Styela clava: one gene and its partner. Each later gene encodes a partner of the first gene's protein in a complex. Links are inferred from orthologs where the notes say so. Each region holds a gene or a part of one and is shown in the gene's direction. Other genes may lie near its edges. The genes, in order: BBSome complex member BBS7-like and BBSome complex member BBS4-like.

Region 1 (17,216 bases):
ATATAACGTTATGCACAAAACGCAAAAGTCTGCAAGTAGCATAATGATTCGGAAACGAATATCTTTATATGAATACAATACAAATGTGGAAAGCAGGAAAAAGGGTATGGAATTTTCAACCACTTCCAAGCAAGGCATTCAAAGCTTACTTTATGGATATACCCTAAATACAGAAATATATTATTTTTACCTAACAGTGTCCATATGATCATCAGAACGTGAAGGACAAAGCCAAAAACAAGAAGAAATTCAATGGATATTACTATGAATAATTCAAGTATGCTTACTGCATCCAAACAATAATTTATTTCGGCAAATATGGTTTATTCAGTGGGATTCAACTTCATGAACACCCCTAATTAGAATACAAGAATCACTGATGCATGACTGGGCTAAGTATTACTATAGCTGATATGATATCAACGTTGTCAGACATGTTTCATTAACCTTCCTTTTTTGAGCCCAAACTCTTTACGAAGCAAGGCTCTGGACAAGCAACTATTAATATTTAATGTAAACCATGATTTATGGCTTGGAAAACTCATACTGAAGAAGACATGCGCTCATATTTGTTAAAAAGCTTAAATACTTAAATCATCTCTTAGACATCGATTTCAATCTTCACCAATTATATTACCTCTAAATTTTTCTTAAAATTTTTCTGTTTCAGTTGCTAAACAACGTCACAGAATTGTAATCTTGTATGGAAGTCAGACAGGAACTGCTCAAGATGTTGCTGAGAATATTGGCGCCCAAAGTCGTGGGACACATTTCGAGTATTATTAATGAATTTAAGATTTCTTTTCCTATTTGGCGAACATGTTCATGTGATGTTAACAGGGAAAATATATACCAAAGAGATAGTTCATATTTCGTGTCTGGCTTTCGAATACTTCTATATAAAACCCCAAATAGATCATATAACAAGTGAAGTTACTAATCATGTTTTCAATAAACAAACTTCATATTTCATTTCAGACTAACCATAGTTTTAATTTTGTTTGTGTCTGATGTGTTATTTCACGACTTCTTTCGCCATATTGGTATATTCTTAGTAGTGAAAATTGGAAATCGATTTCTCTATTAGTAGTTGTGCAGGAGAAGAAATTTTTTATTCAATTATTTATTTTTTGAAGCCTGCACTCTGTATGATTTTATAATACACACATAAAATATACCTTAATAATATTATGAGATTATTTCACTTGCAGGGCATCTGTAATGGAGCTTGATGCATATTCTATCCAAAACCTAATAGAAGAGGATTTTGTTTTATTTGTCTGTTCTACAACAGGACAAGGTGAAACACCTGATAATATGAAAGTGGGTCTGAAGAATTTGTTGTCTTTCACATTCAGTTATTACCTATGTAAATTAAGCACAGACAAAATTCATTGTTCATAAAAACTTCATTTTTTGATTCCACAATTTTAATTTTTAGAAATTCTGGCGTTTCATTATGAGGAAAAATCTTCCTAATGATAGTTTACAAAAGCTTAGCTATGGAGTGCTTGGGCTCGGTGATTCATCTTATGCAAAGTATAATTTTATAGCAAAAAAAATTGACAGAAGAATTCAACAATTAGGTAAGAAAATGAGCGTAACACATTTTTTGTTATAAATATGAAGGTCTTGATAATCTGTTACGAATAAACGCATATGGAAATAAATGTTTGTCAATTTTGTGATTACAGTACTTGAAAAAGTGTGTATACGTACCCTCTTATTAGCAGTTTAGGTTTAATTTATAGACAGCCATACCCAACCTTATTATCCCCAATTAGTCATATCGTCTTTATTAATAAATTTATTTACCTTTATCTGTTTATAGGTGGTAAGAAACTTGTTGATATTGGACTAGCTGATGATCAGCACGAGTGGGGTGCAGATGCCACTGTTGATCCGTGGGTTACAGGAATGTGGACAAGGTTGCTAGAGATGTATCCACTACCAACTGGGGTAATATCACTTTAGAATAATGAATATATTCATGATTATTCAAAAACAGAACTGTAGTTTATTATAAAAGAAATATATTTCAAGAATACATTTCATGTTCTATTCTATATTATTTCTGTAATTTTGGATTGGAATAAGCAAAGTTTGCTCAGTACTAGAAATATAACATTATGCATTATCATGAAATTGAAGACTCTGAGAGCATATATTGCTGCAGTGAATCCAAAGCATCAGAAATTGACATTTTTGATCTTATGTCATTATGGGCCATGGCCCATCTTTTGTTTTGTTTCCGACTACTTATAATAATGTTATATAGTTTATACATCACAGGTTCTCAATCCATTAGAAGGTTCATTGCCGCCACCAAGATTTGAAATCCATAATGATGATGAGCTTTACTTAATGGAGAAAAAAATCAAAGTCACTGATAAGGGTATGTTTTTTATAGAACATATTTTATATGCCTTTCACTCTGAATAAGCCACCACTGATAGGTAAGAGATACTATAGTTTAGAAAGCCAGGAATCTTTCCAATTTGGCTTTGCCTAGCCAATATATTACATTGAGATGGTGGGTGTGGAAATTAAACCCTAGACCTGTGATGCCAACATAGTCTAGTGGTTCAACCACTAAATCATCACGCCCATAAGAAAAACAAAATCATATCGAAAATGTCTAGATTTCAAAAGGGTTCGAATCCCATGCAGGGATGGTTATGTGCGAGGGGATTGCTGGACTCTTCGCCGTCGTTGGGTGGTTCACGTAACCGCTGGTCGGTTACGGCTTCCTCCACCACCAAGTCCATGCTTCCGAAAACAAACAATATAACTAATCCCATACCCGACTTGGAATGGTAACCGGACGAGAGGCCGTGGTTCGCCATATGGATAAGCCGGCTTTCCTCTCCCCCGGGATAAATATGTAAATCATATCATATCAAAATGAAGTGTGGGGAATTGATATAATTGATAAATCTTTAAAGAGAAAGAGAAGAGAGATTTATTTTTTCCGTCAACCAGAAAAAAACAAGCATTCCAACAATAATAAAAATATACAACAACATACACAAAGTTTTTCGATATAGACTGGGAGGAGCGATACGACCATACAGCCATCAGGGTCAGTTCCCCCAATAAATAACAATAGCAGTTTTATTAGGCGAATTCGCAAACCACTAATATAGAAATAAGATAATAAGAATATGGTGACAAAGAAATACTGTTTTGTTTTAAAGGCTCTTTTTGTCGCAATAATCCATTCCAAGCTGAAGTAAAAAGTAATGTTCGTGTTACACCAGACAATCATTTCCAAAATACAGTTCATGTGGTATTAGATATATCTAAATCTGACGGAAAACTTTCTTATAAACCTGGAGATGTTGTAATGATCAGACCATCCAATACACAGGAAAATGTGAAAAGATTTTTAGGTTGGTTATTGCAAATTATCCAGTTGTTTTTAGGTAAATGCTATGTTGGAAAAAATCAATTTGAAATTTGCTTTGTCTGATATTTTTCTTGAATGCTTTCATTCTTTTTTATGTATTATCTTAAGATGCATATGGTTAATTGTGCCTTTTTGTCATCTAACAAGCATACTTGTATTGAACTCAAAACATGTCCCTCACGCAATTTTATTTGGTGTTCTATCGTTTGAGAACATTTTATCTGATACCGATAGCATATAGGTTAATCTATAGATCAGTGTTCTTCAAACTTTTTCTGCTTGCTGTGTGCGAGTACTGCAACCAAGAAAAATAAATTTTAAGCAATTAGTCTACGACTACAATTAGAAATTTTAATACAAATTATTTTCATTTCATACATTTTTATGTTCAGATACATTTTCTCATTTAAACCCAAATAAAACAATGTTGATCACATCAACTGATGATTCCAGTACTCTTCCTTTCTCTATGAAAAATCCAACTACATTAGAAAAGCTTGCAACCCAATATCTTGATTTCATGTCTGTACCTAGGTAGGTAGAATATAATTTTATACAGATGTATGGGATTCTGAAGTTCATTTTTATCATTTTATTTTAGGATTTTTATCATTTCATGGTATACTTGGTATACTCAACTCCTTGTACTGTACAAAGCTTAGGATTTTGTTCGCTTGTTCTGTTTTGTTGACTTGAGACTGGCAAACATAATTAAAATAATATTGAATCTAAATAAAACAATTTTTCATTTTTGGTGTAAGATGTTAAAAATAAGATTCAGTCAGAACTATAGAGAGATAGTAGCACTTTTTTCATTGGAACACCATTTTTTTCTTTGAATTTAGTTTTTTTTAATTTACTATAGGGTTAAATAAAAGTTACACATTTTAACTTTTTGATATGTACCAGTTGGTTTGCTCATAGTGGGGTTGAGAGCCATCAGCTAAAATGGAAAATAAAATCTAGTAACTAGTACAACTTGCCATTTGTAGATATACATACTTATTTATGCACCTAGTATTATTTAGGTCAAAATAAAATGGTAATGGTTATCATGGAAAGCCATATTATTGCAAATTTATATTTTATTTACCATTCTCATCTTTCTACATTTCTAGACGAAGTTTCTTCCAAATGTTGAAACATTTTGCATCCGATGAGTTGGAAAATGAAAAATTAGTTGAATTTTCAACCCCCGAAGGTACGGATGAAAGATATAGTTATGCAAACAGACCCAGAAGAAACATATTGGAAGTTTTTGAGGTGAAAAATCTAAAGTTGTGCTTGACACTATTTAAATGAATTCAACTGCTGGTAGTTATTTTAATTGTATTAAATATTGTTTTCAATTTCAGGATTTTCACAAGACTGTCAAAAATATTCCATTAGCACGATTGCTCGAGATTATTCCAATGATTCAGCCTAGAGCATTTTCAATTGCATCGTCACCTACTAAACATGTCAATGAAATTCACATTCTCGTGGCAATTGTCAAGTAAGGAAATGAATTTAGATATTTGAAATGTGGTCTTATTTAAACAATCTTCAAATTTCTAGGATTACTAGTTATAGAAAAATTGGGGTAACTGGTTATCTTTTACCACAGTGGTCACCAAAGTGTGGGTCGCGACCCCAAGTTGGGTTGCATTCTACACTGAGCTGACTAGCACTACATAGCAAGTTTGGGTATTCTGAATTACAGTGATATCTTTTATAATAAGGCTATTGTGTGACGGCAATAATTAAATTGTAACACAAAATCTAGAGCATGTGATAGAGTTTTTGGGACCGAGATTTTGCTGTGATTAGTTTTTAGTGGTTTGAAATATTTTTTTCTTTTCCATACCTAGGCGTCACAAGCTTATCATACGTCATAACTTTTGAAATGGGGTCGCGTCTCAAAGTTTGACGACCACTGTTTTACCACATCAGACTGGTTTGGTAACATGGAGAGTAACATTTGTAATTTGTTGTGTGTTTAAGCTCCCTTTACTCTACCTGGATAAAATCCTATCTCTTTACATGATGTTGTTTATCCTCCTATTCACTTCTTTTAGATACAAAACCATGCTTCATATCCCTCGACAAGGCTTATGCTCTACGTGGTTGTCAACTTTGAACCAAGGTTCAAAGGTTCCAATTTGGATTAAAACGGGAGGTATCAGCTTTCCTAATGCATCTAGCAAAGATTTACAACCTAATGGTACTTCCTGCATCATGATTGGACCAGGCACTGGTGTAGCCCCATTTCGAAGTGCAATACATGAACGAGTATGCAATGAAGAGAAAGGTGGGTGATTTTGAACACAGTGCCCACTGTTGATACTGTAATTGGCTTATATCAGTGCTTTTCAACTGGGGTTAGGTGAGTTCTGAGAATTCTGTAGTGTCCGGTTGGGGTTTCTCTTCGAGTTGTGGTTTCTCTCTGTGTCAATTTTCCAATATCTATTAGTTTACCAACTATAAAGAATAAAACCAGAAGTCGTTCGAATAGTGTAGATATGTATAAATATTTCATTGAGCAACATTGAGCCATTTTATCTTCTGTGATGACTTTTCGTTGTCAGAGTGTCCAACACTGAAAAATTTGACTTATATGTTTATGGCTGTTTTGGATAATTGTTAGTAAAGGTTCTGTGATGAGCCCAATAGCATATCGCGGTTCCACAACTATAAAAGGTGGAGAAGCACTGGTTTATAGGTTGGTTTAGACTGAAAATTTCTGAAATACGTAATTGCATTGCATGTAAAATTCCCTTTTTCAGGAAATGTTCTCTTTTTTGGATGTCGGAATAAGGATGCTGATTTTTATTTTCAAGAAGAGTGGAATAGTTTGATTCAAGATAGATGTCTGCAATTATTCACTGCATTTTCAAGAGATCAAGATGAAAAAATTTATGTTCAGCACAGGATAGCGGAACATGGTCAATTACTGTGGGATATTATTAGTAAATGCAATGGAAATATCTATGTAGCAGGGTAGGTATTCTCTATTATAAGTTAATCATTGTTTTAGTCAGTATCAATTTATCTTATCTCTATTATGTTTAGGAATTCAAAAAACATGCCGGATAGTGTCCGAGATGCTTTCTTGAAGATTTTTAAAGAATTTGGAGAGATGACCGAAAAAGAAGCATTTGAATTTTATGAAACTATGCAGAAAAATAAAAAATATCAACAAGAAACATGGTCTTGACACATCTTAATGCGTACTTTTAGCAAATTAATAAATCAATTTTATCATTTTTGCCTGTTTTTATTGTGAACAACTGTCTGTGCACGAAGGTGTAATAATATTAGAAAGCATATACCGTACATTTTTTGATAGATGTGTTCATCCGACCATATAAAACCAGATGTTTCTGTTGGGAAGTTATTTGAATATAGCGATCCATTTTCGGTGATGTTAATGATGCTTTTAGCAAATTAATAAATCATCATATGATAATTTTATCATTTTTGTCTGTTTTCAAAATAAGCAACTGTTTGTGAACAACTGTCTGTGCACGAAGGGGTTATAATATTAGAAAGCAGATACGGTACATTATTTGATAGATGTGTTCATCCGACCATATAAAACCAGATGTTTCTGTTGGGAAGTTATTTGAATATAGCGATCCGTTTTCCGTGATGTTAATGATGCTTTTAGCAAATTAATTAATCATCATATGATGATTTATCATTTTTGTCTGTTTTCAAAATAAGCAACTGTTTGTGAACAAAGGTGTAATAATATTGTAAAGTATATCCACAATATCTTATTGATTCCTCAGCAAGTTGTTTCTGTTAGAAGTTATCCGAATATAGCGATAATGCAGCCATCTCAGATGTACGTTTTGATGGAAGTTTATCAGCTGGCCACTAACTTTTTGTGTAGTTGGGCTCCTGGTGGAATGACATTGAGGCCATTTTAAGATGATGAGCAATGATGTTGCCTGCTGTTTTCGAATTAGGATCAGATTTGTGGCTCAAGCCAGTTCGAACAATTTCATTTGCAACCGAAAGTTCTAGCTCACCCCTGTAAATTTTAGGTAAAAACAGGGTGCGCAACATTCTTTCATTATTGATTAATGGGAAAATAAAACGATACTGTCTAGTTGGTGAGTGGCCGCGTGCTTGAACGTTGCTTACGTTGGTGTTAGTTACGGTATACCGGTACTCGTACTAGGATTACTCTCAGTTTCGTATGACTGTATTTTTTTGTTGTTTTATTCATGTCAAGAAAGTCACAATAATTTAAATTGACGTACTTACCGTTCGAAATCAATCATGCGTATGATGTAACCAAGGTTTTGCTCATCCAAGCATAAAATTTGAAATATTTCGGCAGAAAACAAACCAACATCGCTTTTCATTTTTTGCCTAATTTTCGTTACGCCCTGACGTTCATTACCACAACTGTTTGTAAATTATGAAATACAAGCAGACTTAACTGCTCGTGTAGCGCGCTTTTTCACATCAAAATTGATATCCAGACAGGACAGTAGGACGTTCTAACGCAATTTTCAGATTTCAGCGTCAACGATTCTCTGCAAACTGTGGCACGAGGACGTTAACCGACACGTCCAACCGCGGTGTTTCTGTGTTTTTCCATTATGCAATTTACAATTTTGACCATTCAAGTCTTATTAATAGTTCAAAAGTTGAGCAACCTCGATAGGTTGTGACCCAGTAAGGTGGACATAAACCTATATCATTGGTGGCGAACCTTATTTCTGTATTTCATGAATGAGCCAATCATCATTTTTTTATTGCATGATTCAGTGATTGCTGGATTGTGGAAACTGGGGAAAAAGACAGTGGGTCATAGATATTCATTGAAGCTCGCAAAATTATAAACATGATGTTTCATCTTTTTCACAAGTTTTATAATCCTTGGTTTGTATTGTGTATCTTTGAGCTTCACACATGCCACATTTATAGGTATAGTTATAAGTTCAGAAGTTAGTGGTGATTTATGGTACTCTAGTTTATGACATTGATTTATAAAAACATGGATTCGCATGTGTATAAATTAATCGAAAATCGTTTACAATGCAGTAATACTACAGCAAATCGTCTTATGGGATTGAAAAGATTTTGCAAAGGATTTCAACTCTAGGAGAATTATAATTTTTAATCCAATCACATAAATCCATCCTGTTCAGTTTTTATTTCAGATTGCTATGTTTGTAAATTAGGTCAATAAAATTTTGTTTTCTTGAAGGCATTGTATGCGTGAATTATAAACTGCAGAGTAGTATATAGTTCGAAGTCTTATGCTCTTTTCGTTAATTCTTCACTGTCGCTTTGTGACCCACAAGTCATTGGTGGATGTATAGCCTATCATAATGTTATAACATAAAACATACTAGTATACTAACCTACTACTGTACTATGGTAAATGATCTCAAAACATTTGAATATTAAATTTTTTAATATAGGCTTACTGAGGTCTGGAGGTGTAAGGAATATTGATGCCGCTATTTTCAAATATTCCATACAGTTATCAGTGCATCGGGATATAAAATGCACTGAAATATTTATCAGGCTACTTATCATACTCTCATAACATAATAAATCAATGTATAATTTATTTTCAGAACTAAGATAACATAATATGCCGCCCAAAAAGAAAGGTGGAAAAAAGAAGGGCAAAAAGGCAGCTGCAGATGAAGCACCTGCTGATGATGCAGAAAACGCTAAGGAGCCTACAGGTCCTACTGACAGAGAAGTTTATTTAAAAAAAGAACTGAATCATTTGACTAACGATTTAGAAAGACTTAAAAAGCAGTCAGAGGAACTCAGAAAAGAAAATGAAGTATTACAACAAGAAGCTCAACATACCAGAATTGAAAGCCATGAATACATGTCATACATGGCAAAAAAGACACATAAACGTCAAACAACAATTGTGTCTTTAAGCGATCAAAACCAGAAGGAACTTGAAAAAATAAATTCTCAAAAAGAACAAATGTTATCGGATTATGAAGAGAAAAAGAATAAGTTAAAAGCAACTCTTTTGGAAAAAGAAAGTTTACTCACAAAAGCGAGAAAAGAGTTTCAAGATTTAGGTGAATATCGAGAACTTCGTGAAGATCAGTTGAAAAAAATAAAGCAACTCGAGCGTGAAGTTCTACACATGCGTGGAAAACATTCGGACACAATTCAACAGCTGAAAGCAAAATTTTTGCAGGAAAAGGCAGAATATACTGAAGAGAGTGAAAATAAAATTCAAGCATTAGCTCTGGAAGCTAACAAAAAAGCTGTTCAATGTTTGAACGAACATACAACAAATATAAAGTATGAAAATCGACAACTCAGAGCGGAACTTCTTAATTTAATCAGAAGAAGTCAGGTTTTAAATCAGCATAAACAAGAATTGGAAGAACAGAAAAAGCAGCTACAACGAGAACAACAGTACAGTGAAGATATTCGTAAACTACGTGGCGTGAGACAAAAGAAAGCTCTGGCACAAATGGAAAGAGAAGAACAAGAAAAACAATGAATTCCAAATCGTTAGCAAAAACTTCATATTGAGATATTTTGAAAACCGCTAGTTGAAATTTATTATTAAATATAGGGAAATTGTCACATTCTGTAATTAAAAGATTGTTTCATATATCATTGATAGCTAAATACTCTTTTTAATTTAACCCAGAATTTTTTTTTGTGGTTCCATTTATCATTATTCTCAGTGTTTATAACAACTTTATTGTTGAAATCCAATTCAGTTTCTTTACTGTAATTTTGTGGCGAAATAAATTCATTGTGATATTCTGTGATAACTTTTTGTTGCATTCAATCAGTAGAACACAACTATTCAATAGTTTTCGATATATTTTTATAATTTAGGGAACAAAACCTAGGCATTGATACAGTATAATTTTTAAATTTTATGTCTCCATGTTCTCTTTAGTGTTTGTTCTATAGTATGGCATTATAAGATTTCTAAGGCTTATATATATATACTCATACTTATTTCAGTTTCAAGTCATTTTCAAATATTCCCAGTATTTATGTATTTCACTGTCAACTTATTTTGTTTTAGTTTCATTACATGCTTGTATCATTTAAAGCTTCCTATAATTCCAGTTTATATCACTCACTGTATCTATCAATTTATGACAACTTCGCTGTATTTTTATAGTGTATAAATAATTTATTAGAATATTTTTCACACATGGATTTGGATCTTCACAGGGTGGATTACTTGCAGGTATTTTTTTATTTTGCTTATAGTATTACTCAAGCTGTAACATCGACATAGTCCTTGTAAGCTAACCTCTATGCTGTGAGCTTATTGCATTGAACTATGCTCTTATGTTCTGGGCACTGACTATTAACAGTTGTATTTGACAGAGAATCATCTCGGCTTAATTTAGATAAAATTCCATTTATGATGTCAAAATACCAGATAAATTTATACTTGTCATTGTCAATACTATATGTTTTTTCATATCACAGGTCGCAGTTACCGGAAAAAATTGCATGAAAGTTTTACCCAACAATGAAAAATCAAAAAGAATTTTGCAGAAAGTTGTAGTTGCGGACAAGAGCGGGGTTGTTACTTGTTTTGGATCGAAAAAAAGAGATATTTCTGTAAATAATTTATTTATTATCTTCGGATTGCAAAATAAACAATTTTTTATGGTAAAATCTCATTTTTCAGAATGTTTTCAAGACTTTGCCAGGAGAACCAAACAATTTTCTGGATTTGGGTGGTGCATTAGGAACTCCGCAAGATAAAATATTTGTTGCATCTGGTTCTGTTGTGCACGGCTACTCAAGAAAAGGAAAAAAGTTTCTAGGATTTGACACAAATATTACAGAAAACATAAAGTGCATGTAAGATAATAAATGTTAACTGAGTGACCCAAAATACAAAATCTAGATCAGTTAAAACATATTCTGGAGGGAACATAACTTTTGTGTGAAGCATCCTAGATTAGTAAAACTTTTTGGTAGAATCATACACAAAAAGAATTTCAAATGTTAAATAATGTTTTAATTACCGTAATTGTTGCGATTTATGGGTTCTGTGTTTTGGGTCACCCTGTATATCTAAGGGATAGTTTCTGTATGATATAGAATTTGATTTTATCGAACTTTTATGCTCTATTGTAGCTATGATATAAATGTTCTTTGCAAAATTTTGCTACATATTTTTGTATAAAATATTACAAAGTAAGATCACCTGAGTGACTAAAGCAAAATCACATTTATATACAGAAATAATTGCCTGATGTGGCGTCTTGGCTATCATGATATCACAGGCCAAAGATTTTCAGGTCTTTGTTCAGTTCTAAATCCTCTTCACCCTGTCATTGCAAGACCAGAAATATCTTTATGGTGCTTATAAAATGCCTTGTTTAGATAAAATGTATAGAAAACCTCGTGTTTCTTTTTATGATTTAATTATTTTCAATTTCATTTCTAGTTGTGTGAGCGGAAGTGACCTTCTCATTGCAGGAGAATATATTTACAATCATTTTTGTGATTGCATTGACAAAGGATATTATCTGAGCAGCGATAAAATAAATGATATCATATGTATTCCTGTACTTCGAAAAGAAGGCGACAATTTCACACCAATTCTAGCTTGCAATGACAGATTACTTCGTGTTCTTGATGTAAGATGATCTTACAAGTTTGACGATAATAAAAAATGTGTGCTTTGGATATTTTTTGTTTATCAACTTGAATCTTAAATCTCAACTCAGCATCTTGAATATAGCTTAGAATTTTCATATTTATCCCATGAATAGGAAATTTAATAACAAAACTTAATCATATGGCGAACTACGTCCTACGTCCCGTTACCAGTTCATGTCGATAAAGGAATAAATAACCAGTTATTTGTTTCAGATGCATGGACTTGATAGTAAATAGAGCAATAACTTACCAGCTATCAGCCACCCACATATTATTGATTCTCAAATACCTATTGGCATCAAATATTTATGATGTGCTTTGATAAATTAAGTTTCAGATAAACAAGTTTCAGATAAATTATCTAGCACAAAGCATTAAATAGCATGGATCAAATTGCAGAACATTCCTCAGCAATACATATGTTCACAGTATCTTATGGTTTCATCTGATCAAAATATAGGTGATGTTAAATAACCATCCTCGATATTATTATATTGTCTATCTGTCCACTTTGGAATTGATTACTTTTGCTATTCTCCACCTATTTTGTCTAGACCTCTACATAAAGCTCCCTAGCTTAATTTCATTGTATAATTTCTAAATAAATCTTTATACAGGGCACTGAGCTACGATATGAAATTGAAGTAGCTGGTGTTCCACAATGCATAGTTCCTTACCTTGGTAACGCAGGTGAAGAGGGAAATGAAATAATATATGGGACTGTAGATGGAACGATTGGCCATATTGTCGTTGGCAGGTATGTAGAGCTGAGAGCTGTTGCTAGGGTCTATCAAATGACCATATATCATAAAACCACTATTTTGATCAGTTTAAATTTAAAATTATTACGAGGTTGTTTAGAAAGTCGCCCAGTCCTCCCAAGGACGCTTATTTCAGGTGGGGGTTATGTAGTGCTAAGATTTAACCCTTTTGTACCCCAGTACCCCGGTTTTAAATTTATACCAGCATTGTCCGGCCAAGGCTTTGAGCAATCACTTGAATGTCAAGGTAAAAATATTATACCAATTAGCTTCTGTCTACTTTCCATCTGAGTATATTCTGTATATTGACCGTTTACGTGCTAATTTATCATCCTGTCTGACCTGAATGGTCTATAGACAATATATTAAAACATTTATTCTTATCCCAACCTCAAAATATCACTCTGTGTGTTCTAGTTTGAAGAATGATTTTACAGATCAAGTGAAAAAATGTTCGTACGAAATCAAACAAAACCATGATTAAATCAAATATCAAGCAGACATCAAAATCAAGAAAAATTAATCTTTTACATTTTATTGATAGGGATGAACCCAATCATACATGGGAGCTACCTAATGATAGAAATTTAGGTGGGGTATCCTGCTTGGCACATCATGATATGACTGGGAACGGAACGCCTGATCTTTTGGTGGGAAGAGAAGATGGTACAGTAGAAGTTTATAGTTATGATATTGGCGAAGAACCAACGTTAAGATATTCTCATGTGAGTACACACTTGCTTGACTCAACTAAATTCACAAATTGCCAGAAACTTGATATCGACATGATACTATGAAAAGTAATATGTGATATGCAACTCCTTAGATTTCGTTAGGTATTACCCACTGGCTGCTTGTTGTACATGGCCATGATATGATCAAATTACATAAATAGACATTGTTGTAAAAAGCAAATGGAACTAAGCAGGCATATCTTTGATTTCGTTTTACTTATATAATTACCATAGTTCTTATTAGGTGAAAAACGACTTCATGAAATATTTCAGACATTCAACGAAAGCATTACTGCCATACAAGGAGGCGTCATTGGAGCAACAGGGTTTGATGAAATTGTCTTGCTCACTTATTCCGGTTGGGTAATCGGGTTGACAACAGAACCACCAACTAAACACATTGGATCATCTCGCTCTAAAAGTCTGTCTTCTTCAACAAATGAGCAAGAAGACCAAGAAAATTTACAAAAAATCAATAAAATCAAGTTAGTTTGGTATAAATTTTTAATTTTAATCTACGATCAAACATTGTAATAGAGGGACATTTTTTCATATTTATGTCGATATGTCAACTGAATTTTCAGTAATCCGAGAGTTTCGAGACGAAATGCAGGAATTGAAATTTCGAAAGAAAATTAATTTGAAAATATTACAGAAATAGGTGCTTATTAAGCTGGTATCTAATCATAATTCTGTGCAATTGACGCCAAAATATTTCAATAAATAGTTACAGGAAAATGAAAAATATACATTTTATCAAAACAGTTTATTCAAGTTTGGCCTTTTTGGGGTCAAGCGCTCAACTTGCATCACAACATTTGTGAACTGCTTGTTTGAGGAAGTCCGGCTAGTTGGACCAAATATTACACAATGAAGTTTGAAAGTGTTATACAAGGTTCACTTTTGGGCCTCACAATTTATCCATTTCCATTCTTGCAATGGTGCATAGATACAGATCCATTAGCACAAAAGCACAGAGAAAGGAATTGTAGTTAGACCCACTCTACTTCAATCAATAATCGTATTGTTACATTATTCAGATCAGAAATAGAAGAATTACAAATGAAAGTTGCTTCTGAAAGAGACAAATACAGGAAAAGAGCAACCCAACCTGTTGACAAGAACGAATTGGTGAGATATATTATTTGAAGCATGGCACTAGGTGTATTTTAAAAAAGATTTGTAAATATAATTAGCATTGCAATTTTAATTACTAATTATGGAAAAAGATTAAAGCGTGAAGACACAAGACAGATTTTGGGCCGTTCACAATCACATATTATTCACTTAATATGACCGTGCTGATCAAACCAACACTGAACTATACATATACCGTAAATGCTCGTTTTAACGCCCGGTCTTGATTAAGGGCCCGTTTGAATAGCCGCCCGTGTGAACAGGACATGAAAATAAAGAAGGGCCGGTGCTTGAATACCCGCCCGGTGTAAAAATTTTTTTTTTTTTGAGGATTTGTATCTGCGGTGCGTAGAAAAAGTCTAAATTTTTATTATTCTCGTTTAAATCATACTTGAGAACTGGAAATGACAATATACGGTATTAATTATTGTAACGATCGATCTTATCTACCAGTATTTTTGTGTGTAATTTTACTTTAAAAATAACAAGCGCCCCTGCTTGAATAAGGGCCAGTTTGAATAAGGGCCCGGTTAGTGAGTACTGAGTATGTTTAAAAAAATAAGCGCCCGGGCTATTAAACGAGCTAATACGGTATGCATTGGAATATGGGATCTGTATCATGAATCAAACGTTTATTTAGAATATCGTGTGTGGTTTCCATATGCATGAGCCTTTTTTAAATTTTCTGGAAATGCTCATGACATTGTGATTGTCGGTTTTCATCTGATGCTTGGCCTACCCAATTTATCAAATTCTGTCTTGAGACTTGTACCAGAGATGTGTAACCTGGAATGGCAACGTGTTAAGTGTAGCTTGAATTTCAATACATATTTTTGTTTCCCATCTAGCCAACAATGTCTCGTGCTGCAATATTTCATGTGAAAGATAGGTTTGTTCTATCACCTTCTGATTCAAGTTATAACCTAAGTATTGAAGTCCAAACACCAATCGACCACATAGTATTACAGGTCAGTGAGCTTGATTTTTTATTACTGTAGTTTAATTTAAATAAATTGCTACCAAAATTTAAATGAAACTTGATAGGTAGGTTTTCTTACTATTCAAATTTTTTTTCGATAATATACAGCATATTTATATGTTAAAGAGCTACTTGAGTTTGGAAGAACAGAAATTTGGATTTGAAACCGAAAAATATCTTGCAATCTCGACTTAGTTTAGTCTGATACCGTAAATCACACTCGGCCACTTCGCTTAGATTTCTTCTCTAATATTTACTATATGCAATGTCGACAAACATTTCATTAAAAAAATTATAACTTGCACTATAAGTCATTTTCTACATTATTATTTTTAGAGTGATGTTCCGATAGATATTTTGGACGTTGCTAAAAACTCAGCAGTTGTTTCATATACCCCATGTACATCTGGTCCACCTTCATCTACTGGTGGAAATTATTCTGATGTCAACTCTGGGAATTTTCTGCTTGCTACCTACAGATGCCAGTCTAGCACTACACGACTTGAGGTGAGATTTAATAATAAAGCCTATATATAATATAATATAAAATAATTACTGAGTCATTGCTTTAAAGCAATATAGCTGGTAAAGATTTAAAGCAAAATAGCTGGTAAAGGCTAGGATATGTCACTGCATGGCAGTAAGGAGATAGGCTTTAAGTTCTATATTTCAAAATATAAGGGTAGGATATTTCATATTCATGTGAGTACTATAGGGAGGAAAGGAAGCATGGGAATAGATATCAGGATGGAACATGCACCATCCTACAACAGTGAGGAGTCCAGCCCATTATTGTTTGCAACAGGGCTAAAAACATAGCAGGGTGTGACATTATGTGTGCCTATGTCTTTATAATTCATATACGTCTATAGATATCAAAGTGTCTTAACTCTCGTAACAAGGTGGTCCCCTGAAATATGATGTTGATATATGAATACAATAAACTGTGATATCTTGGTACAGATGTACAGATTTAAATAATTATTGTTGTTTGGGTACACGTTTTGTTAATATTTTGGGTATTTTGAAATGTGTAGGAACGAATTAAAATAATTACCATTGTTTCTTATGGAAAAAAAGTTTTGGTACTTGAACAAATCAGTACTCGAATACCAATCCTGAGCGAATTATGTTAGACTACTGAGGTATCACTGTATTATCAAACCAAAATGCTTTGTTTTTGCTTATTCAGCTAAAAGTTCGATCGATTGAAGGTCAATATGGACTTCTGCGAATGTACATCACACCACAACTTCAACCAAAGACTTGCATTGTTAGAGAATTTGTCATCAAACCTCTTTCACTTCATCAAAGAAGCCATTTCATTGATGATAACAGGTAATATTTTTCTAAATAGTTATCTATTTTCAGTGTTGGCAAAGAGGTGGATGAGCCCAGATTGACATACATTTTATATCAATCCTAGTCTATCTAAACCTGGTGTAATAGTGTAATATTATTAGGCTGTGCTGGATGAAAAGGGTCTATTTTCACAACAGTGGTCAGAGTACCCAAGCATTAGATGTCTCTCTCTTCAATGTTGAGAAGACTTGAGTTACAAT
Region 2 (17,007 bases), on another chromosome or scaffold:
GGGGAACATATAATAATATCTTCTCAAACATGGCCCAAACAAGAATTTTACATCGAAATTACTAAATATCGGTATTAAACCCAAATATTCTGCACTTTTCGATTACGTGCCCCACTTTTAGATAAGATATCCCAAAAGAGCATTTTATGAAGTCATCTCGAACCAAGTTTCGTAAAAATTGTATGGGGGGATTAATGTAAAATTGTATATTTTTTCTCGCTTAAAACTGGCCCGATCGTCAACATTTTAAGAAGGTTGGTCTTAGTAGTAAGCCACCACACCACGTCAAGGTGCCAACCATCGTGGTGGTTTTCATCTCAAACTGGCGACGATCGAGAGAGAAAACCCCTAACTTTGGCATAATTGCAAAAGGTAAACCAGACTGATCATTTGCGTGTCTATGAAGCCGGTGGATCTGGAAAATAATTAGAGTTTTAGGCATGTGGTGAAAAAATTCAGCTTCGATTGCACTTCTCGCAATTCCATTCAATTCAGTTGCCTCAGTTGGCACCGGAGTATTGCAACATTTCGGGTGGTACCATTCCAAACATGAAGTGCATTCTACCATAGTCTGATTTTGTATGTAGGGCAGTCGGCAGTTGCAAAAAATCTGAATATCTGTAAATTTCGTATTAGCTTTATTGTGGTTTCGATCGATGTCAAAATTTGGTAAAAATCGTTCAGAACTTATACCATCATGAATTTTGTTTCGCAGATATTTTTCATCAAAAACTATATCCTCTGGTCTAATTCTTTCGCAGAGAGCTATGCAAAAACTCATTGCAAATGGTCCGCATGATGCACCTAACGTTTGTTGCTGGACGGGAGGAAATTCAATCTGTAGTTTGTTTGTTCCTAATGTTGGTCGCATGAGAAGCGAAATGACATATTCGTCTTTTTCCGTGTATTTCATGTACGAACTATCATAGATTTGAATGATATTCTGATTGAACGAAAATATGCTAGACGCAGCTACCCAGTGATTATCATGCACGAACAGAATTTGAATGTATTTTCTGAACGGAGCGTAGACTTTTGGACCAGATATCGTGGTATAAAGTGTCGTGCTTTGGAGGCCGTCAGCATTTGGGTACTGCGATGACAAAATTAGCGATGCGGTATTCACAATGTCCGATGTGAACCAATGCTTTCGGAAATTAGTATTGGAGCTCAATATTTCAAAGTCAATTTTGGACTTATGCACCAAGTTTCGGAAATCAATTTGGGGTGAACTAAATCGTAACGCCATTGATTGAGAAGACGCCTCAGAAGTGATGTCCGTTTTCAATATATCTTTATCAGGCAATTCTATTGGGCGAGAAGCTCTCAGAGGTCTAGACGGTGGCTGTAAATAGATACCTTTCGATTTATCACTACCCTGATTTCTACATCTTTTACCCCATTTCTCAATTTCTTGGTCAATTTGGTCTCTGTTTTCGACTTTTTTGGACGTACAATCAAATTATCCTGATATTCCCTAATTAGGGAATCATGAAGTTGATCATACACTACAGCGATCTCGTCAAGACGTTTAAACCGCCTGTTGTTAAAACGAGTACGCTTAAGTTCCTGTTGACTTTTCTCCATTATTCCCTGCGTTCGATTATCTTTTGCTAAGTTCAGTTTGTTAGAGACCGAGGATTTAGCGTAAAATTGTCTATACTTTTCATAGCCTATTGTTTTACCATACCTGCCCAAATCACCTACTAGCAAAGCTCCCCACAAACAAATTTTGGGCACATAAAATGTTTTAAATTTAGTCATTACTTCCGGGCAATAAAAACAGTTTGAACCACATAAACCAGCGTCAGTAGCAATTTTGTAGCTCTAGCAATATCCAGATATAGTAATTCGGTAAAAGGATTCCTCTCACTCCAGTCTGCATCTGGTAGAAGTTCATCAGATGCATCCTGATTGAAAACACATTCGGGTGGGGATAGAATATCTTGTTTTTCGATACGCTTTTTCAAGTAAGACCAGCTATTAGCAACAAGATTTGAATTCAGGGCTATTAATATTATTGTCAAATGGTAAACGATTTTACGAAGTTTTTTCATTTCATTTGCAGCAAACAAGCAACCCAAATATATACATGAGTTCACGTTTTACTTTTGGAACCCTACAAGCTAATTGCTTAAAATTTTTCATGGTATGGCTGGTGCATAGGTGAAGAAAGAGTCGGGAAAGCATATCCAAATTCGCACTGCCTTGAATGACCGAATAACAGCGCGATATGTAGGCCTCAAGAATTTCGCGCATTATTACTTGAATTATTGATTTGATGAGGGCCATACTACCATCACATATAAAAGCCTTTGCGGGAAATCGTTTGGTCAATTTCGAAACATCAGAACGAAATTGTGACAAAAAGTTCGAAATATTTGCAATGTTGTGCCGATTCGTAACAAACGTTGCAACAGCAAATGGGGACTTGCCCTTTTGGGGATGGCGATTTTCTATTTCGTAAATGTAATATGGACTTTGGGCACCGGAAGGAAGTATCCCACCAGTAGCGTCAATATAAATTATGTCATTTTGAGCATTATGGATAAATATTCTTACAGACTGTTCCGACCACAACATAATACCTGGTGGAACTCGTGAAATTTGCTGCAAGGTTCCACGAATTAACTTATTATTGCATTTTTCGGCCTGAAATTTTCTTAAACAGTCAAGCGAATTCCATTGATTATCGAAATCTGGGACATTTACCATTCTAGCCTCATATCGCGCCTTTTTTGATACAGCCTGTGACGGAGCATCGTCCCTATTACCAGAATGAAAAACATCGGAAGAGAGCGCACCAATTTTTTTCAAATACATATTACGAGGAAGAGAATGAATCAATTTTCCTTTCAATTCCTTCCGCCGTTTTCCCTTAAGTCGGATTGATTTAATACCAACGTGATACCTATTTCCCGAATACCTAACATGGAACATGCGGAGGTCTCTGCGATAGGATACTACAGAAATTTTGCGACTGCAACCTGTGAAGCAACAATGCCCACTGCAAGCAAAAATACGATTAGCCAATATTCCAGAATTTACTGTGTGCCATCGAAATGCATATGAACAGTAAGGGTCACTCTCTTTGATAGCTTCTCTAAAAACATCAGCCCAATTAGAATTTTTTATTTTTTGCCCAGCAACGGAGTTGAAAAGACTGTTCCAATTCCTGGTGTCCATTTTAAATTTTGCATTTTTTATTGGATTTTCACGTTCCCAAATACCATGTGCTTGCACTGAGGTTTGCGCACCTTATCATCAAAATCAGTTCCATGCGCGTCTAAAAATATGTATGAATTGTTACTAACCTGCTTCAATTTGTTAGCACAGCTCTCTTTCAGGGACGTAGGCGGTGTGTTTTCTTTGTGACAAATTTTGGTAGTCGAATTGCTAATTTTAATTTCAGAATGAAAATCAGAAGAATGGTCATCCCTTTTGGTATTTTTAAATCCTTCATCGCCTGATGTGTCAGGAAATGAATTTTCATTGATTTTCAGTGTTTTTGAGTTATTGTTCCAAAAATGTTGCAATTTTCGAATATAATTTTTCAATTCACCTTTGGCAAATTTTTTGTTCCAAATTAGTTTTGCTAATTTGCTCCAGGCTGCTTGGGAATTTGGATTAAATGATCCCATATCATTTATTGCAGTTACCAACGACTGAGTTGACAATTTGTTTTCGGAAAACACACCGCCCGACTGTTTATAAATTAAAGAAGGGTAAGCATTTTTATCAGGCGAAGATGATCTCTGTAACTTCTTCCGTGGAATGGGACAATTACTTTTGACTTTATCAGATCTACTAAAAGAGGGAGGAGGAGAAAAAAAAGACCTGCTAGTATGTTTTGGCTGTTCATTCCCGTGCAGCATAGTAATATCAGAAATAGCCCCAGTAGAAACGACAGAAGTAGTGAAAGATGAGGCCGTAGAGACCTTTCGGCGTAAGATGGTCGGGAATGAGAGGGACGCAAACATGGCGCAGGTTGCAAAGAAACTGAAGTTTTTGGCCGAACAACCACACTGGCATAGAACACCAAAGATACGAGGGGTGGGTGGGGCTGAGTGCTGAAGGATGAAACAGAGTCGAGGAGGAAGGGCTTCCAGATGATCCTTTTCCTTCGTCGAGAAATCGATCTACTAGAAGTAGGGATTAATTTTGTCCCAGTTCCAACAGAAAAACCTACAGCGGGGAAATCATTCTTCAAAAACAAGCAAGAGTCATACTTACATAATATGCTTCCAGTAGTTATTTGTGTAGATTCGGGAGTTTTGTCTAAAAATAATTTTTGTTAGCATATGTTAACATTTGCACGAATCATCATTATAATTTCAATACATTACACTGTGTAAAACTCATTTTGTTACCGGCTTCTAATAAATATTTTTTGATTCATTACGCCACAAAAACTGGAGAAAACGAACAATATTTTTTTAATTTTGTATTTAAAAAATAGGGGCTATTTCCCCAAAATTATACTTTCAGTATAATTGCAGGCTTGTGCTATTTTTTATTATTTTGATATTTCAAAGATATGTTTCTTTTGTTTTATGTGTAAAATTTCGAAGAATTAATGCAAGCTCATTTTGAATAACTTTTTAGTGACTAAAATAACCTGAATTGATAAAAAGAAGATTTGTTTTTTAAAAATAATTTTAATTAAATAATTTTAATTTTTTTGGTGAATTTTAGGTCATTTCAAGATTTTTGACATAGAATACATGAAACACATCTCAACCGAAATTGAAAAAAAGTGATTTCTTGTATGTACATGTCAAAAGCTAACAGCAAATACAGGGAAAAGGTGGGAAGTTGAATATATATATAGTAATAACAATTTTTTTAAGCGTATACCCTGAATGTTGCGTTTTTCAAAAATAATGACACCATAAACGTCCCACCTTTTCGTACAATTCTTGCTACTACGGACTCGAGAATCTGCATGTATCTCGCCAAACCACGATCCGACAGATGTAAATGGTCGCTCCAATACGAAGGATTTCTGCCAACGTCAAGATCCAGAAGAGGTATAGAGTGCAGCTTGGCAATCGCATCCATGTCCCTATTGGCTGCAGCAGTGGAACATTTTGACTGGGACAATATCTTCGATAACAGTATCTGAAAATGAAGCATGTATTCTCTTACATTGGCTGTCAACCCGACAAATATTAAGTGGATTTGTACATCCAAAAAATATCTATATTTTATGATTAGGCTCCATCAATCACTGCTCTGGTACGATGCCGAGAAAAAAGTACTAAAAAGTTTATCACTTGGATCAAATTGAAACAACAAATTTTTTTTATTTACAGAAATATACCTGGACTGGACCAGATATAGTTGTGGAACAAACCTTGGCTCCCGGATAAGCCTGCTTGCTGGCTTCGACCAGCTTCTCGGCGTATACTCGGGATTGTTTGCCCCAGCCAACAGATCCTGCAACATCGTTGGTCCCCAGAGCCAACAAAAGATAATCCACGCCGGAAAACGACTCCGTCCCCAAAATCTCCGCCACGCCATGTCGTAGTTGGCCGCCCGGCAAACAAATTGACGAAAGCGAAAACGGAGATGAAGGCGACGGAGAGACCACCTATATTAAAATTCTTGTTTGGGCCATGTTTGAAAAGATATTATTATATGTTCCCCCCATACAAATTTTATGAAACTTAGTTCGAGATGACTTTACAATATGCTCTTTTGAGATATCTTATCTAAAAGTAGGGCACGTAATCGAAAAGTGCAGAATTTTTGGGTTTAATACCAATATTTAGTGATTTCGATGTAAAATTCTTGTTTGGGCCATGCTTGAGAAGATGTTATTATATGTTCCCCCCATACAAATTTTATGAAACTTAGTTCGAGATGACTTCACAATATACTCAGTTGAGATATCTTATCTAAAAGTGGGGCACGTAATCGAAAAGTGCAGAATTTTTTGGTTTAATACCGATATTTAGTGATTTCGATGTAAAATTCTTGTTTGGGCCATGTTTGAGAAGATATTATTATATGTTCCCCCCATACAAATTTTATAAAACTTGGATCGAGATGACTTTACAATATGCTCTTTTGAGATATCTTATCTAAAAGTGGGGCACGTAATCGAAAAGTGCAGAATTTTTGGGTTTAAAACCGATATTTAGTGATTTCGATGTAAAATTCTTGTTTGGGCCATGTTTGAGGAGATATTATTATATGTTCCCCCCATACAAATTTTATAAAACTCGGATCGAGATGACTTTACAATATGCTCTTTTGAGATATCTTATCTAAAAGTGGGGCACGTCATCGGAAAATGCAGTATTTTTGGGTTTAATACCGATATTTAGTGATTTCGATGTAAAATTGTTGTTTGGGCCATGTTTGAGAAGATATCATTATATCTTCCCCCCATACAAATTTCATGAAACTCAGTTCGAGATGACTTTACAATATGCTCTTTTGGGATATCTTATCTAAAAGTGGGGCACGTCGTCGGAAAGTGCAGTATTTTTGGGTGTAATACCGATATTTAGTGATTTCGATGTATAATTCTTGTTTGGGCCATGTTTGACAAGAAATCATATCATTTTTCCGACATACAAAGTTCATTAAACTTTGATCGAGATGATGGTATTATGTGTTTTCCTTTTTATCACTTTTATTAATGTGGCCGGCCATTGAAAAGTACGAAAGTTTACGTGGAATACGGTGATTATAATAGGGCATAAATCTGGCAACTGAATTTCACCCAGCATTCATATTTCCGCAGCGCGTTTTATACGCAATGTTAAATCGATTTCTGGCAACCCTATTTCACCGTTCCGAAAACGAGAGAGATATCTGCTGAGAGATGTCTGCTAGGGTAACTTTGGTGTACCAACGCGATAATAATACACCCTCATTGTTCATTGTGCGCTATTTCTAATGCTACCTCACTGTTCGTAATATCCTGTTTCAATTACGCCATTAGAAAGAAACAAATGGAACATACCGGTACCGCTGTACCGGTACCGGTTGCCTTGCTTGTAGTTGTACATTTGGCGGCTTAAGCAATTTGGTACCCTACGGTATATCTGTATGTGGAAAATCTGTCTTATGATCAAGCTGCTGAATTCCAATAATTCAAAATCTGGTGCTCCTGAAGTACGGTACCGGTATGCGCACCAAGATGTCGTATAACCTGAACCTCAACCTGGTACACAACCTGAATTCAGGTCCCAAACTTCAGTAGGTCCCAAAATCTTATACCGGTATCTATTATCGTTTGCTTGTATATAAATTTTATCTCAGGATACACGCCGTTTAAGTACATTGCCTCCAATTCAATGATCACTTTGTTTATATGAATTATTTTTTATTAAAACAGATGTAATATTTCAGTATTCTGTGCCATTCAGCCATTACTAACTGACAAATGCAACACATTAGAATAGTCCTCCAAATGACTTAATGTGACTCTAAAGATGGATATTGTCAGTCATTCTAATCGTACTGGAGTGTTTCCTGGATATGGAATATATTCTCCACCTTATGAAAAAAAGGCAGCATTCCCTAGAATGCTTTATCGAGGGCATGCTGTTCGACTCGATAAAGGTAGTCGTGACTCGTACTATCAGCAACATGTTGTTCGAAAATATCAAATGCATTCTTTAAATGCTGGGTTTTCAGGCAAAGAAGGTATTCCATTAAAAGATCAGAATAATTTCAAATTTCCATCACAGAGAACTTTTTGTCCAAGAACACCCAGAGGAAAATGGACCAATTTTCCAATGACTGTTGAAATGGGAAAGTATACCAGGGGATTTGAAGGAAAATATGTGGCAAATCCTGCATCTGCGACAGTAAGAGAGAAACCCAGACCTACACCGGTTCGCACTCGAACAGCATTTTCAACGCGGCGATCTGTTGATTTACCATCAAGACCATTGCCATCGCCTCTTGATTTTGCAATGGAATCCCGATTGTATGAAGAAATAGAACCAGAAATAATAGATATTATGGCTGCACGTAATGAGGTTTTCCAGTCATATCAAAACCGAGTGGAAAGTGCTCTTATGAGCGATAATGATCGTGGCAATGGACTTGGAAGCAATCCAGTCAGTAGACTTGGATTTACTTCTGATTTTAAGCCTTCAAATAAACAAAGTCGAGCCAGGCCAAAAACTACTTCATTTTTTGTTGAAGGACCAAATTCTAATCTTCTACTTCCTGTACCCTTTGTAATGCCAAGTAATCGTGCATATCGTCCTCTGCAACTCAAGCAAAGAAGCTTTTCAGCTCCTGTTGCAGTTGCTGGTGTAAACTAATTCCTAGATTTATATTTTATCTTTTCCCATTCTAGATATTTAGAAGTGAAATTTTATGTCATGCTGGAGTGCCATGTTTTCTCACTTGAGTTTATCATGAGTTGTAAATATGATATATTTTTCTCTTGTTATCATGTTATACATTAGGCCTATTCAACATTGTAATTTTTATGTTTATCAAATTGAAATTTACCTTTTATTTGTAGGTTGTACTATCAATTTAAATCAATGTAACATAAACTTAACTCAGGATTAAGTTATATCAGTATATTAATGAAAAAATTCTTTATTTATAATTTTTTATTGAGATTCATTTTGTAATTTTGCCAAATTTTTATTTAAAAATCAATGTTCAACACTGTAATTAAGTATTGTGCCAAAAACAAAAATACATTGCTTGCTTCAATTTATCATATGTAATTTTACCTATGTTGTTTAGGATTTGTGACAAATTTAATTATCGTTTTTTATTCAACTGAGTACACTAGTCATATTGAACTAAAAATAAATAATGTAGTGTTTCTTCACTTATTCGCATTGAGGTAATGAGGTTGATATACTTTTATAAGCATAGTAAACAGTGTTCCACCATATGCTGCATTTTCAAAAACTGTTATTTATAAAAAAAGGCTTGATATTTATGATGTATCTTGAATTGATATTCTCATTAATTATGTTAACTTCCCCATTTTGTTCTGAGTGTCCTCCTTGTAAGCAAAAGCTCAGGTTTGAGTCTGTATGCTTTGTTGTTATACAGTGAATATTACTGGCCAATGGCCATAACTCAAACACAAAAGTTTTAAAATAACATGTGAATAACATTTGAAACAACTCTATTATTATAAACTATTTCCCCAAAAAAGATTTTGGTTTGTTTAATAAGTCGCTTTTCATGAAACGGAATAATAATAATGATAAATGCTAGCATTCTTTCTTGTGGCTGCTTTGTTTTTTAATAAAGTTCATTTAAATGATCTGTGATAAAAATATCTGCACATATTATGTACATAATTATTTTATATTTCTCGTTATAATTTGAATTGTTCAATCGCACAACAAAATTATGATATATCATGAATTGGTTTTGTTAGAGTTTGGTATGAATCGTGGCCTAACCAATTTTGTGGTGGTTATAGTAGCAAAATGAACATATGCAAGGGTTCTCATATCTTATAAATAGGCCCAATTTAAATTCATGACAATTATTTCAAATTGCAACTTATATATATATGAGTTTTCACTGTTTTAATCTCAAAATAATTGATATAAATTTATTGGCTATTTTTTTTTATAGCTTTATTCAATTGAAGGGCTAATCTGACGCCAGTGCTAGAGTCTGTATTAAATTAAAACAGACTCTGGTTTTAAAAAAAAAATCAGAACCCTGACAAATCTTGAAAAAAATGATGAAAATTTCGTCTCTAGCTTTTTTTGGAGTTTCAATTATGACCTTCAAAATTCCACTTCTGACTCAAGGTAGTGTGAAGAGATGGCTTCAACTCCAATAATAACATGCCAAACTTCCACAGCCCTGTTTGAGATGAATTAGAATAATTTAATCTGGTTTTAATTTTATTATAAAATAACATGATCTTGCTGATGTTATTATTTTTGTGTATGAATATATTTTCTTGTGAATGTGTACTGGTAATTCATAGTTATTTTAATTTTAATAGCAAAATAGTATTTAGACAAATATGAACACATTAGCATAAATTGCTATCAGTGTTATACATTATGCCCGGATCCACAGAAAATGAGGAGGTACATGGTTTTAATTTTTTTGTGTGAGGCCACTGATATTCTATTCTTGTCATCATAAATTTTAAAAAGAAGTTAAAAAAATGTGGATTGTCATATCTACATAATTATAAATTCCCTTTTGTGTCAGATTATTTTACTGCAATGTTATGAATTTGATATTAATTTTTTTTACATTCCTGTCGTAGATCGAAAATCCGAAAGAAAACCAGGAAGAAGTAACAGTAGAGCCTCCTACTCCAAAACCTAGAGTTCGAACAAAAAAACGTAAGTAATATTCTTATATACATGAAAGAATTTTATTATTTAACACATCCCGTAATGCAGGACAACTTAAAATGTTTAATATTTTGATATATTTAATATTGCTCTCATCGTCTTGCTTCTTTTTTTATCATGCAGTTGTGTAAAAATTTGATGTCATCAAAAATCATTATTGCTGTTATAATACTGTGGTGCTGTGGGTTTAATATTCCTTAATTTGAAATTCGAACTGATAATATGGGGAAAAGCAAAAGGTATATCTATATTGTCATATTTCAATATCACACTTCGATGCAAATCGGATTGAATTAGAATATTTGAATTTTTTAATAACAGTACAAGTATATACAGATCAGTAGAGGTTGCGCGAGACTAACTCCCAATCCTTTCTCTATGCCTTTGCGCTAGTGGATCCGTATGCATGTAATGCAAGGATGCTGTAGCAGGAATAAGATACCATAATATGCAATTCAAGAGTCCTGCTGCACACTAACACAAATATATTTCTGTAACGTTTACAGAAATATACGTTTACAGAAATATATTTGTGTTAGTGCGCAGCAGGACTCTTGAATTGCATATTCAAGTATATACAGTTTCAAATAAGCTTTCTTTCTAGCTTAATGGTGATGTTGATACTCATTGCTGTAGCCTATTGTTAATTGTTGTCTGGAATTCCAATTTAATAACTGTTCGAAAACCAACACCTCCTTAACTATTCATTGTCTATTGTTATAAACATATGGACTGATTTTAAGGAATTATAAACTAGTCATAAAATCAAATACTACCTATGTTTACCCTTTATACATAAACAAAAGAGAGGCAGAAGTTGTAAACAACTGATTCATGCACCAGCGCTTGTTTAATTATTCTTATCAAAGAATGAATAGCCTTCATTGCAATATCTTCAACTATTTCTCTGCCAAAGTTTGCCAAATAAATTCCAGAATTGTTACTTTTTTTAAGTAAAATGTAAAATCTAAAAATAGTTCAGTTGTCATTTGTCTGCAAAAACGAACAAAACGATAAATGTAAACATAATTATGGTATTCTTTTTATGGTATTTCGAATGAAAAGTGAACAAAACAAAGAAATATATTCAAACATGAAACGTCTAAACAAGTTTGAATGGGAACTGGATCTTTACACTGCCAACTAGACTCATTTTTCTTCCAATCCGTTCGTAGTATACCGGTATTTGTTGATGAAAAATTTTATTGCATTGCTTACCATATCACAAAATGCATCACAGCTTATGCAGGAGACTACGACACCAAAAATATACTCTAAAAATCATGCCAATGTGCAAGTTTCTGTGGCCAGAATCTGAATCCATGTTAATTACCATAAATAGCGGATTGTCAAAATGTAAATTTGCTGTTTCCAGACTTGTTGATGTCACATTATTAAGAATTGCAGCATTTAACAAAAACTTGTGTAACAACACACATGAAATTTTCATGAAACTGTAGCCTTCAAGCTGGAAGTTCCCGGTCCTAAATCTGCAAGTCACCTTGTGCGTATGTTGATGATTGTCATGTATGGAAGTGCAAGGGTTTAAAACTCATTGCGAGGTTTATATGTCTATAAAAAATAATAACTTTAAATATACCTAGCCTAATATGCGTATGTTGATGATTGTCATGTATGGAAGTGCAAGGGTTTAAAACTCATTGCGAGGTTTATATGTCTATAAAAAATAATAACTTTAAATATACCTAGCCTAATATATTTGCTTCTCAAATTAGTTTTAATATTTCCGATTTTATGCTAAAGAATCACTTTTTCTATTGTAGCTGTAGATCTCCCAGTTGTTGAAAGAAGAAACTGGCTCATTCATCAACATTTCATCAGACAAGAGTTTCACACTGCAAAGGTATTCAATCCTTTTTTAAAATAATTTACTCAAAAGACAAGTATATGTCAGCTTTATGTCATAAATAAGGAACTGTACATTAGCTTAAGGTTATAGTACTGACCTGATTTTTTTAATCACTTACATTTATTTACGTAAGTGACCGCCTTTTACAATGGTTAAAAGATGACAAAAAATTACATATTCAGTCTCCTATATTGTCACAGTAGATCCATTTAGCTTATGTCACAGTTAAATTTGAAAAATTGCCCTTTTGTATTAGTTTGGTTCTAAGAGCAAACATAAAAATGGATGTAAGGCGACACTACATAGGATCAAACCCAAAACAGATAAAGCTTCGAAAACCAGACCAAACGATGGGCCCTGGTCCATTATGACAGAAATTCAAAAAAGTCCATTTTTGAATAAGTTACTTTTGGTACTGTGGCGATATCATGTCTAAAAGCTGATCATCAGGAGAGAAGTGATTACCGTACCGTGTCAAAATTATATTGATATTGGTTTTGTAGGACTTGATACTACAGCAGTTGGCAGAAACTGGTGGAGAATGTGAATACGCTCTATATGTTCAAGGAATGATAGCTAGAACTGAAGGCAGAATTGCAGAATCAACAGAACTTCTACAAGCTTGTGCTAAAATCAACCCAAAAAGTTCTGAAATTTTGAAACAAGTTGCAAAGAATTTGTAAGTTTTGGGATTAGAATTGTTACGTTTTGCTATGGATTTAAAACTGTTTATTTCAATGTTCAGGTTTCTCACAGGGAAGTACAAGAATGCTATAGAATGTTACAAACAAGCAGCAGTTTTATCATGCAACGATGACTGGGAAATATCTCAACAACTAGGAGATTGTTTTCTACATTTGAAACAATATGATATGGTGGTTAATTATTAATGGATATTTTCCTGATCCTAAACCTTTCAAAATTTTTCTGAAGTTTTACTGTTGAAAATTTTCAATGCTATTGTGGGGGGGGGGGGGGGGGCATTAATGAAACTGTCGAATTAAACCGAAGCTTGCAAAAAATTAGTCAGTGTTTATACCCATGCTCGAAACTTAAAAGGTGTTATGATTTGATTTTAAATTGTTACATTTCTTTGAACCTATTGTTGATTGGCCATTGTTATGGAAATAAACAAAGAAGACCATGTTTAGGGAAACATCCCTTGTGTGAGCATTTCGGTTCACCTGTTGTTTTTGTATCCTGAACTATAAGAATACTCAAGTCTAACAACGTAACAAGTCTAGTACATTTAATCTGAATTTTTATATAAATAACTACTGCTTACCTGATCAAAGTTATCTGCTAAGTTTCGATAAAAGAAATTGTATATTTGTAGTTATCCCTGAAATGTACTGTACAATAAAAAGAGAAGGCTACCTTCACCAAATTCTCATCTGGATTAGTAATTCATTTTTGTGTTTTATATTCTGACTATTATTTTAGGCAGAGGATGCATTCAATGAAGCTCTTAAACAAAGTAAACATGACATTACATATTCAACGTTAGCCCGTCTTTACTTGGAAACAAGTAGAATGGATAAAGCAGTAGAAGTTTTGAAGAAAGGTGAGATGTTACGATATGTTTCATTTATCCATGGCTTAACACATTTCTTAATGCATAACATTTTCAGTGTTTTACTTACATTGTTCTCATTTGATGTTGTGCATGAGTTGTCTTTTTATCTGAGAGTGCCTTTCTGTTTCAGGTATTGAATTTTCTCCAGAAAACTTAGATCTTCTTACTACTCTTGGTCTGTTATATTTAAGGATGCAAGACTTCCACCGAGCTTTTGAATTACTTGGTCAGGCAATGACATTTGACCCTGAGAATTATAAGGTATTTATTAAGTTTTTTTGCATCCTATGTATCATTACATCATGTAAATATGACATTACGCGGAAATACACACAAACATTTTTTGGTTTATCACACATATAAAATAAACAGTACTCTTGAAGTATGTGAACCAAGATTGCTGACACTGGAACGTAGTATGTGTACCAGGTTAGGCTTAGGTCATAATTTTATTCCAATTGCCCTTATTTTAGCTCTATTACGAGTTGGGGTACTAGCCAAGTGACTCCCTTAGTATTCGAACCTGAAATTATAGCCTAACTTTAGCCTGGTACACATAAGGCCTGATTACATGTCCATCAAAACCAGTCCAGCGAACCGGTTCGATTCGGAAATGTCGAAGTGGTCTCGGAGACCACTTAGCACCCTCGATTACATGTCCAAACCAACGAGATAAGAAACAGTTTTAGAGCTGCCGGACTAAAACAAATAAGTCATGATTTGCGAACACTGCGTATATTTCATTGTCAATAAATTCAATACAAATGTTAATTAAAGTATATATCAAAATTATATGCAGGTTCGCACCTTATGCCACACGATCCATTCAAAAATTACGGTAATCCTACAGTTACCAGTAGTCTACTGGCAACCAAATTTAAACAATTACAGTTTATCAACCGAACACTTTGTGTGAAGTGGGCTCATCACATGCAAATAGAAGCACTTTCATTATTTAATATCGCCCTACTACTGGGACGTTACCGACACTGAAGCATTGAATTTGTACCGGTATGTACAGTTAGGGTACCGGTACCAACTGGGATGAGTTATCGCTGTATGGTGAATTTCCAAAAAATTTCTCATTGGGAAATGGGAAACTGAAGTTTATCAACAAGAGTCGTATTGCGCTCAATTCATACCAATAAATCTTTGGACATAAGATTTAATTCTGTTTCAAAACAACAACCAAGCATGCCGCACTGGGTTCCCACCGGTACAAGTACCGGTAATTCAAATTTGTGTTCAACAGCGACACAGTAGATGAGGAAGAGGTTTACATTGAACTTCTAGCACTATTTAGCTAAATTTTTATTTGTTGAAATGCAACTCACTTACCAGAGATAAAAAAGAAAGCAACTTTCATACCGGTACCCCTTCGATCGACTTACGTAACTGCGATTTCTCGAGTAGCAGGACAAAGCGACTGAGCAAAACCAGTGCAGCTCACTTCCAGACCTACTCGATAGGTGGTGTGATGTTGTTGACCGATAGCACGAATTTGAATCGCAGGCGAACCACTGAAGCGTGAAATAGTTTCCATATGTAGTCTGCTAGACCGGTCCCAGTGGACATGTAATCAGGCCTATACCACGTTCCGGTGTCCGCCATCTTGGTTCACATACTTCGGGAGTACCAAACAAACATCAGAGTAAGATAAATATAGATTGATCCGAAAAAATAGAACCCAGTCCATTAGGAACATATTGTATCGGTCCTGTTTTTTGGAGTCACCCTGTATTTCGTGGTATCTCAAAGCCATTTGAATGTTTGTGTTCTAAATTACATCTTTATGGTGATGGTGACATATGCTGAGCACATGAATAAAAGTGAAAATTGCAAATATTACTTATAGAAATCATGACTGAATTCAAATTAAAAGCATTGCAAGCGTTGAATTTGCATTCAAAATTCTTCTCCCTGTCATTAACTGAAGCATACTTTCCTGGCGCGGCGGTGTGGCTCAACGGGCTAAGCGTTAGGAATACGCTCGCCACCGCACCTCTAATTACTCTGCGAGGGTTCGCAGGTTCGAATCTCATGCAGGGATGGTTATATGCGAGAGGATTGCTGGACCCCTCGCTGTCGTTGGGTGGTTCACGTAACCGCTGGTCGGTTACGGCTTCCTCCTCGACCAAGTCCATGCTTCCGAAAACAAACAATACAGTAAAACTAATCCCATACCCGACTTGGAATGGTAACCGGACGAGAGGCCGTGGTTCGCCATATGGATAAGCCGTCTTATCGGCTTTCCTCTCCCTCGGGATAAATATGTAAATCCTATCCTATCCTATCCTTGTTTTACAGGCAATATTAGCAGCAGGTTCTCTTATGCAAGTACATGGTGATTTTGATGTAGCTCTGACTAAATATAGAGTTGCTGCTCAAAAAGCTCCTGAAAGTGCAGCACTGTGGAATAACATCGCAATGTGCTTTTACGGAAAAAAGAAATATGTTGCCGTAAGTATTGGTGATTGAGAATGCCAACTATATGCTTGTATCTAGAATTTGAAAACTAGTCTTGCTGAATTGTTAGTAACGAAATTTGGGATGCCAATGGAACTCGTCTTTGAAGATTTTCATCAGCATCCATCCTACTCTGCAAGACCACAGTTTCTTAATTCCCAAGATGGATGGTTATAATGGATATAGGGTTGATCCCAATTGCCATTCAAATGACCTGCTTCATAGATGCCTAATATGCTGCCATATCGACAGCAGATTTGATTTTCATGGTAGATAAACAAAATGTCTGTCTGCCAATCAAGGGCAAGGTTTCATGTAAAACCTTGTTCTCCAAACAATTTCAAATGTCTCTAGCCTAAATGAAAAATGGTGAAGTGTGCCACCATCTTGGTTAGTTATAAAGTCATGAAAGAAAAAACGAGGCATTGTAATAGTGTTCTACTAAATATTTGATTTAATCTTGTCATGTTCGAGCGAACAATTCTGAATTTTGTTGGTTGAACCTTATTTGACCTTATTAATTTTCTCCTGTCACAGGCTATCAGTTGTTTAAAGCGAGCAACATACCTAGCACCGTTCGATTGGAGAATTTTATATAATTTGAGTCTTCTTCATGCAACGATGCAGCAATATGCAAGCACGTTTCAGTTTGCGAGCACTGCACTAAGATTGAAGCCGAAAAATGCTGATATTTACATGTTGATTGCAGGTATGCAGTCACTAATACGAACATTTTCAAAATTATCATATATTTGCTAACAAAA

What was found.
Region 2: BBSome complex member BBS7-like (region 1) and BBSome complex member BBS4-like share a complex: the UniProt entries of both Caenorhabditis elegans proteins name them as parts of the BBSome complex. The link is inferred for Styela clava from reciprocal best matches to the Caenorhabditis elegans genes osm-12 and bbs-4.

What each region holds. Positions count from the first base shown.
Region 1 is NC_135263.1:9,591,091-9,608,306, forward strand, and holds the start of BBSome complex member BBS7-like, read left to right. Parts: upstream 1-10,450; 5' UTR 10,451-10,571; coding exon 10,572-10,607; intron 10,608-10,855; coding exon 10,856-10,990; intron 10,991-11,060; coding exon 11,061-11,236; intron 11,237-11,828; coding exon 11,829-12,021; intron 12,022-12,660; coding exon 12,661-12,800; intron 12,801-13,348; coding exon 13,349-13,529; intron 13,530-13,811; coding exon 13,812-14,023; intron 14,024-14,578; coding exon 14,579-14,669; intron 14,670-15,523; coding exon 15,524-15,643; intron 15,644-15,990; coding exon 15,991-16,161; intron 16,162-16,846; coding exon 16,847-16,992; intron 16,993-17,216. Other genes in the region: NADPH-dependent diflavin oxidoreductase 1-like, read left to right, coding at 44-104, 671-776, 1,212-1,323, 1,442-1,586, 1,832-1,959, 2,293-2,395, 3,198-3,392, 3,802-3,943 and 5 more; coiled-coil domain-containing protein 166-like, read left to right, coding at 9,009-9,896. UniProt on the Caenorhabditis elegans protein: Component of the BBSome complex. The BBSome complex is thought to function as a coat complex required for sorting of specific membrane proteins to the primary cilia.
Region 2 is NC_135260.1:19,651,012-19,668,018, reverse strand, and holds the start of BBSome complex member BBS4-like, read left to right. Parts: upstream 1-9,936; 5' UTR 9,937-10,028; coding exon 10,029-10,055; intron 10,056-10,240; coding exon 10,241-10,319; intron 10,320-12,115; coding exon 12,116-12,195; intron 12,196-12,704; coding exon 12,705-12,880; intron 12,881-12,946; coding exon 12,947-13,076; intron 13,077-13,644; coding exon 13,645-13,765; intron 13,766-13,907; coding exon 13,908-14,038; intron 14,039-16,084; coding exon 16,085-16,237; intron 16,238-16,780; coding exon 16,781-16,952; intron 16,953-17,007. Other genes in the region: uncharacterized protein LOC120335694, read left to right, coding at 7,449-8,291. UniProt on the Caenorhabditis elegans protein: Component of the BBSome complex. The BBSome complex is thought to function as a coat complex required for sorting of specific membrane proteins to the primary cilia.